2 linked regions of the Cricetulus griseus genome follow. The protein of the gene in region 2 interacts with the protein of the main gene of each other region in a pairwise test. Links are inferred from orthologs where the notes say so. Each region holds a gene or a part of one and is shown on either strand. Other genes may lie near its edges.

Region 1 (2,739 bases), on a different chromosome or scaffold from region 2:
ATCCCCCAACTAGGAAGAATGTAACAGTACAGAAGTGTTCTTATGCAGTGAGAACATTCTGGTGTTAACCCAGTGAGAAGAATGTAAAATTGTTCATATGTACATCTCAAAGTCAGTATTGCAAATTGAAGCCAAATACCTTTAAAGTTATAATTTCTGCTGTTATTGCCAAGGCTAAAAGCAGTGAAGTTTTACTGGATTGTTGCTTCAGTTTTATTACTCTGTTGGTTCTCTTGTATTGCATCGGCCCTATTATTTGAAAATTAAAGTGTTCAAAAGTATGGTGCGGGGCTGGAGACATGACTCAGCACTTAAAGAGCACTGGCTGCTCTCCCAGAGTTCAATTCCCAGCAACCACATGGTGGCTCACAACCATCTGTAATGAGATCTGGTGCCCTCTTCTGGCCTGCAGGCATATATGCAGGCAGAACACTGTAAACATATATATATATATATTTTTTTTTTTAAGTGTGGTGCTCCTAATCTGACAGATAATTTGAGGTTTGGAAAATAATCCTGGATCTTTGTGATTTGGGATTATACAGTCTTTAATCACATGCCAGTATTAAAATGCTCATCAGGCATAGTGTCTCACTCCTGTAATCCTAGTACTTAAGAGGTAGGAGGATTGTAATTTCAGTTATCCTCTACTCTCTACTATATAAAAACAACAACAAAAATTATGTTCCAGTTAAGTTAAATCAAGAATTAATGGATTTCTATTTGGCAAGTCCTTTAAAAGCTATATTCTTATATAGATGATACCCGTACCAGAGAGCTACCTATTAAAAGGAATCCCTTATGTGTGTTTGTTAGTAAGAATATGTTCTCATTCCTTTACAGGTATTTTATGGGTGGTAAAGAGGCATACATTTGTAATTGGTACTCTACATACTTTTAAAGAACCTTTGTTTGATAAAGAGTAGTACCTTCATGTTACATTAACAGTATTTCCAAGATATGTGTGAAATGGCCTGCTTATACTTCAAATAATGATTTAGGATGAAAACATTGATACAGCAGAAACAAAAAGTGGCTCTTTGGCCCTTTTTGTTTAAGGTTTATTTTTGCTGCTCTATTGGTAAATACCGAAGTGCAGAAGATGGACATGTTCCAGAAAAGAAGATGGTAATTACAGGGTGGCATCTGCTGTGACATAGTTATGTTCTGTACATGTGCTGTAATGGTTGTGAGCAAAGGCTATAGAGAGCTTTGTCTTCATTTTGTGATGATTGGCTCTTTCCTTTGCAGCCAAACAGGCAAAAAGTTAATGGCGAAGTGTCGAATGCTTATCCAGGAGAACCAGGAGCTTGGAAGGCAGCTGTCCCAGGGCCGTATTGCACAGCTTGAAGCAGAGTTGGCTTTACAGAAGAAATATAGTGAGGAGCTTAAAAGCAGTCAGGATGGTAAGGGGGTTTGTTGTTTAAAGTTTGCCTGTCTTTGCATTGGCTTTAAAGGCTACCAGGCTTGCCATACATCAGTGTCTGTGCATGTGCTGGCTACTGAGAATCGTGCATGCAACACCTACCATTGACGTGTAAAGCAAAGCCACTTAATTGATGTTAGAGTGTTCCCCAACGTACTAATAGATATTGGGAACTTTAGAAAATGTGAATCTTGGAAACACTTTGATATTTCTGTGCTCAGAAAGTAACGTAGTTATATTTCCTTGAGGTCCTATCAATAAAAAAGGAGATTCGGTATTTAAATTTGCTAAGACAAACCAAATGTAATTGTTACCATAGTCCTGTTTTTATTCAAGTGTAGCTGCATTTTTTTTTCTTGTGACGTGGATTAATAGTAAAAAATGGGACCATACTGTGAACATACAAACTGGGAATCAGTATATTGGTTGGTTGGTTGCAAAGCAGGTTGGTGGGTAATACTGTCGCTTTTCACTTTTACTATTTGTAAACATGGTAAGTGGGAGATGGTAAGTAGCAACTAAAAGGCTGTTTTTCTCAAAGTCTTTTCAGAAAGTTAATGGACTTGTATACTTTAGCAATCCATCCCCAGGTATTTTTTATATAATTGTCTTCTTGTGTGTGGAACAGACCTCTTTGGGGGGGGTTAAAGAACCAATATTATCCTGAGGGCTGGACCTGCTGTAGATTTAATTTAAGGCACTGGCTGAGGGTGAAGAGTAGGGACTCTCGGGTCAGCACAGTTAAGATTTTACATGGCTGTTGTCAATTATATGAGGCAGGAAGGTTGGCAATTAACTTGGTTACTTTAATATATTTAAAGCATCCAGCTACCCTCCAAACTCATTCTTGAATAGTGATTAAAATTATTAGAATTCCAGGTAAATTGATTTTGGTTTTTTGGAGACAGGGTTTCTCTGTGGCTTTGGAGGCTGTCCTGGAACTAGCTCTTGTAGACCAGGCTGGTCTCGCCTCTGCCTCTGCCTCTGCCTCTGCCTCTGCCTCTGCCTCCTGAGTGCTGGGACTAAAGGGACTAAAGGTGTGCGCCACCAATGCCCAGCCTCAGGTAAATTCCAATTTTAGAACAACATTTATTGACTACTTAGCTTTGTGGCTGGTGCTTACTATTTGAGGGGGCTGGAGAAGTAGCTTAGTGGGCATAGTGCTTGCCATGCAAGAATGAGGCCCTAAGTTTGGATCCCAGCACCCATATAAAAAGCTAGGTGTGGAGCTAGTTGGCCTGTTACTCCAGTGCTTATCGTGTGGAAGGTACATTTTGGGTTTGGTAGTCAGCTGATTTAGCCAAAATGGGAAG
Region 2 (4,501 bases):
GAGTGAGTGTCATAGTTAGGCTCCCTGGTTTGTATACAGGTAACTAGAGCCAGCTTGAATTCTTCACAGTGGAATCAGAGTAAAGCATGATGGTGGCCATTCTCACACTTTCCAGGGACAGCTGGCATCTCCCAATCAAAACCCCAAACTAAATCCTGAATTATTGAACTGACCTACAGGAACTCCAGAAGTAAAAGGAATGGATATTCAAAGGATTTGGGAGCTCAAGAGTCTGCCCTAGTTGCTACCTGGAGTTGGTGGGGGGGGGGGCAGCAGCTTCACAATTCCCAGACTGTACCTGTACAACCCACTTGCTTTAACTAGGAGAGAAAAGGGTAAGTTCCCTGACAGGAACCTGCTTCCATGGTATGACCCTACCCTGAAGACACCTCCCCACCGGCCTTTTCCTTTGTGGCATGAGAAGAGCAGAGCGTGGTGGGAAGGTGTCACAGGTTGGTCCTGGTCCTCAGCTCCTCGGGAAGCTCTTTCTTCAGTAGCAGTCCTACCTGTCTACTCCAGAAGAATCTGGAACACGCCCCCCCCCCCTGCAAGTGTAATGGTAATGTCCTCGGGCTTTAAATTCTCAGTCCCACCCACCTTCTCCTACCGGCTTCTACCAGACTTGCAGTGCAGAATGCTAAGCATGCCCCCCCCATGCTAAGCACACACACACACACACACACACACACACACACACACACACACACACACACAATAACAAAGCCCCTGTGAGCCTAGAAGGACTCAAAAGGATGGTGGTATATTAGTATTTGCTTCCCTGAGGGTTATAGGTCAGTGAGTCTCTCCAAAAAACAGGCATGCTCACTGAAGTCATACACATGCCTGACAGTGGCGTGGTTTCTGACCCAGGGAGGTTCAGGTGAGCTGTATGTTCTGTATTTAGAGACTGGTCAGGTTTCTCGTGTTTGGCCTGTAACTTTCGGCCTAACCCATCTCAGCTCTCCTCTTATGAGATCAGCAAACTGACCCGGAGGTTTGCCAGCAGTAACACCTGCCTACTAGAAAGTGATGGCGCGGTCCAAGAGCCTCTGCAAAGGCAGCAAATTCTTCCAACATCTCTTGTACAAAACACTAATTTATGAGAGACCTAGAGGGGAGGGATACTCTGAGTCCTCTCCAGGTTGCTCCTTGAGACCAGCAGCTCCCATTCTTCAGTGGTTTCGGTTTCACTAGAGCGTCGGGTGGTCGAGGGGCTGCTGGATGGGTTCAGAAGGCCCCAGAACGCTTCCTCACCTCCCGCAGCAAACAGTACCGGCCCGGCGTCCCCCTTCCCACACATTTCAGAAACACCCAGACCTAGGACAGCAGAATTTTTGATTCAAGAAAAGCATCGCCTTTGTGTTAGTAAGTATTTTCCCAAAACATCGAATCAAACCAAATTAGATTCTCAACAGCAAAGAAATCAAATGAGAACAAAAGAAGAAAACTACAGTGGCTCAGCAACCATGGTTCTGCCAGGGTGCCAACGACGGATAGGTGTATGGAGGGGGACTGAGAGAGTTAGAAAATATACTTATTTCATACAAGGTCCCTTGTACATTGGCTGAAGATCCCCCAATACACTTGTTCTTGTTCCAACATCCACACCTTACGAACCTTTCCCCAGCCTAACCTCCGGGTGACTAGGAAGCATCCGAGGAGCGCTGAAAGAAGGTCACTTTTCCCAGACTCCCTCCACGGATTTGGTTTCTTATGGAAGCCAGGCTGTCTTCCATTCCCGCCGCCTGCGCCTGCGTAGCCTGCGACTTTGCGTGGCCTGGAGCGATCCCCACAGTACTACCTTTTCCACAAACTATGCTCAAACCCCTACACGGTCCCCTAAGTGTCAAGCCCGCATTCTGAAGCTCCCTTCTGCTTCTGGTGGGCCTGAAGTAAGCCAGCTCCTGGGGAGAGCTAGAGGTTCTTGGGGTTTGGTTCTGTCAGAGGCATTACAGGGGGTCCCTAAATGCTGACCCGACTCCTGAGTCCTCTAAGTCCTTCTACCCTTGAAATCTAACAGGGCCGAAGCCTGGTGGTAATTCGGTGGGGCATCAGACATTTCCCCAATATAGAGCCACCCGCTACAACCAATGCCCCCTTCTACTTCCCGTGGAGTCCCAGAGTCTCTCAGGGATCCTGGGACCCCAAATGTCCTCCCGGGTCCTGCGAACTATCGGACTCTGGGGTCTTGTTCAGCTGTGTGTGTGTGTGTGTGTGTGTGTGTGTGTGTGTGTGTGTGTGTGTGTGTGTGTGTGTGTGTGTGTGTGCCTTAGCACTTCACGGAGCCCACTCTCCCCTGCCCACACACCCGCTCCTTTCATACTCTTTGGGAAAGCAGCTGGGTGAGAGCTGGGATCTGGAAGGAACAGAGAGGAGAAACCGCGTTGGACGAGGAAGCCAAGCCACAGCCGCATGTGGTGTGCCGGTTGTCCGGACTCCTTACCTTGATTGCGGATAGTGGGCTGGCTCTCCAGGCAGCTGGGCAGGTAGGGCGCATTGGGGAACATCCTGGCCTGGCCCGAGGACGCCTGGCTGGGCGGGGGAGGACCGAAGGGTCCGTAGCGACAGGCCCCAGCTGTACCGGTGAATTGGCCAGAGAAGTGCAAGGTGAAGGCGCTCAGACATTGCTCTTCGTGCGGCTCGGTGCCACCCCAGCTGGGCTCCTGTTTGATGAAGGAGTGGGGTGGCGGCGGAGGCGGCGGCGGAGCGGGCGGAGGAGCGGGACCGCCCAGCGACCCGTAAGCCGAGGCGCCCGGAGGCGCGAAGTCCAGCACCGGCGCCCACTGAGCCGCGCCGCTCACGGGGAGCCCGCAGCCGCCGCCACTGCCCAGCGACGACACGGCGGGCAGGAGAGCGTTCAGGTCCCGCACGTCGGAACCCATCAGCTGCGGTTCGGACCCGGACGGCCCTCCGCTCCTGCGATCCTGTGGACTCTCGGCACTGGACTTGGCCCAGGTGCTGCGGGTGCCTCGATCCCCCGGCTGCTCCTGTTGCTGAAGACACCCGGGCTCACGGCAGAGGGTGTGCTGAGATGCCGACTCTGGGACACACGTGGAAGCCGGCTCCTGCGACAGGAGGAAGTCCAGGATCGCGGCGAGGAGGCGGCCGGCCCGGGTTCCTGGGCTGCCGTCCTCGCTCTGGGTGGGTGGGTGAATGAGTGGGTGGGAGGAAGGGCGGGAAAGGGAAAGGGGGAGCAGGCAGGCAATTCGGTTGCGGAGAGCCCCCGGGTGTGGGCGCTGCCTTGAACTCCTTACCCCAGCTGCCTGGCTGCCCCCAGCTTCCCAAAGCTCAAATAAGAGGGGCCGGCAACGGGGGAAGGAGGAGGAGCCAGGATGCGCGGCCGTTCCATTCACACACCAGCTCTTGCCTGCCCCGGCAGCTCGCACCACTCGTTCGGGGTACTCGTAGCAGGGGTGTGGGGCGGGCCCGAGGGAGCGTTCAACTCAGAGACACCCTCCTCTCTGGTCCACCACGTGCTCTCAGCTGGCCTGTATAGCAAACCTCCCCTTGCCTTCCCAGCTGGCCTTCCCGAGTGTAGGCGCCTTTAGGCAAGGCCCTCTAGGTAAGTAGTGTGAGCCCCTCAGCGCGCCAGATCGAGGTGGGAGTAGAGTCCGGGTTGTTAATCAGAGGGTGGGGTGGAGGGTGGGGTGGAGAGAGGGGCGGGTGGGCTCCAAGAGGGCGGGAACCAGAGAGCCCAGAGAATTCTCCTGGGTTCTGAGGAGAATAGACTAACTTTGAGCCTTCCCATGTCCAGAACCCCAGAGCCTAACCTCGGGGGGTTACTTTAGGAGGTCAAAAGGTTGAGATTCAAGGTGAAATTGTTCCGCATGGTAATTGTGAAGTGTGACGTCAGTTGTGACACGCGAGACGATTTCAGTTGTCTGGTAATTGATTCTTTGGTGAGGCTGGAACCCAGGAAGCTGTTGCTGCCTACCTAAAATCAGCATAGACGACACTTACTGGCCCTTTGCAGCAAGAAGTATCTAATAGATCTATATTAACTGGAGGAAATTGCAGCTGGCTTTTGTTGTTGGTGGTGGTTGTTTGTTTTGTGGGCGGTCCTCTTAGCAGAAATGCCCGGAACCTGGTTTGATACTGATGGGAATGTTCTAGCGCCAGGTTGAAAGGACGGGGAATGGAGAGGCTGTGGCTACGAAATCAGCAGGAAGAGTGTGGCCCAGAAAGCTATGTTGCCAAGCAATGCTTCCTCTAGAGATGGAAGGACCCATTATGGACCTGTGGTGATTGATTGGGGGTTGCAAACCAGTTAGGATAACCAAGAAATGGGTCGGGGAGCAGCTCCATTGGCCGGTGGCTACAGGAGTGTTCGCAGAGCTGGGAGAGTTCCCAGAGAATGGCTTCCCAAAAACAACTCCTCCTTCCACCTTCTAGTTGTTCGGGACTCCCTCGCCTCAGAACAGGTGTTTGGGGGTGAGTTTGGGTTGGTTTAAGACTTCTAAAGCAGTGGGATCTATGGGGTGGGGTGGGGGGCAACCTGTGT

What was found.
Region 1: the proteins of Wt1 (region 2) and pre-mRNA-splicing regulator WTAP interact in binary tests that used the Homo sapiens proteins (3 or more experiments, as listed by UniProt). The link is inferred for Cricetulus griseus from reciprocal best matches to the Homo sapiens genes WT1 and WTAP.

What each region holds. Positions count from the first base shown.
Region 1 is NC_048595.1:288,094,448-288,097,186, forward strand, and holds part of pre-mRNA-splicing regulator WTAP, read left to right. Parts: intron 1-1,251; coding exon 1,252-1,406; intron 1,407-2,739. UniProt on the Homo sapiens protein: Associated component of the WMM complex, a complex that mediates N6-methyladenosine (m6A) methylation of RNAs, a modification that plays a role in the efficiency of mRNA splicing and RNA processing.
Region 2 is NC_048599.1:72,540,072-72,544,572, forward strand, and holds the start of Wt1 (Wilms tumor protein), read right to left. Parts: upstream 2,883-4,501; coding exon 2,444-2,882; intron 1-2,443. UniProt on the Homo sapiens protein: Transcription factor that plays an important role in cellular development and cell survival. Recognizes and binds to the DNA sequence 5'-GCG(T/G)GGGCG-3'. Regulates the expression of numerous target genes, including EPO.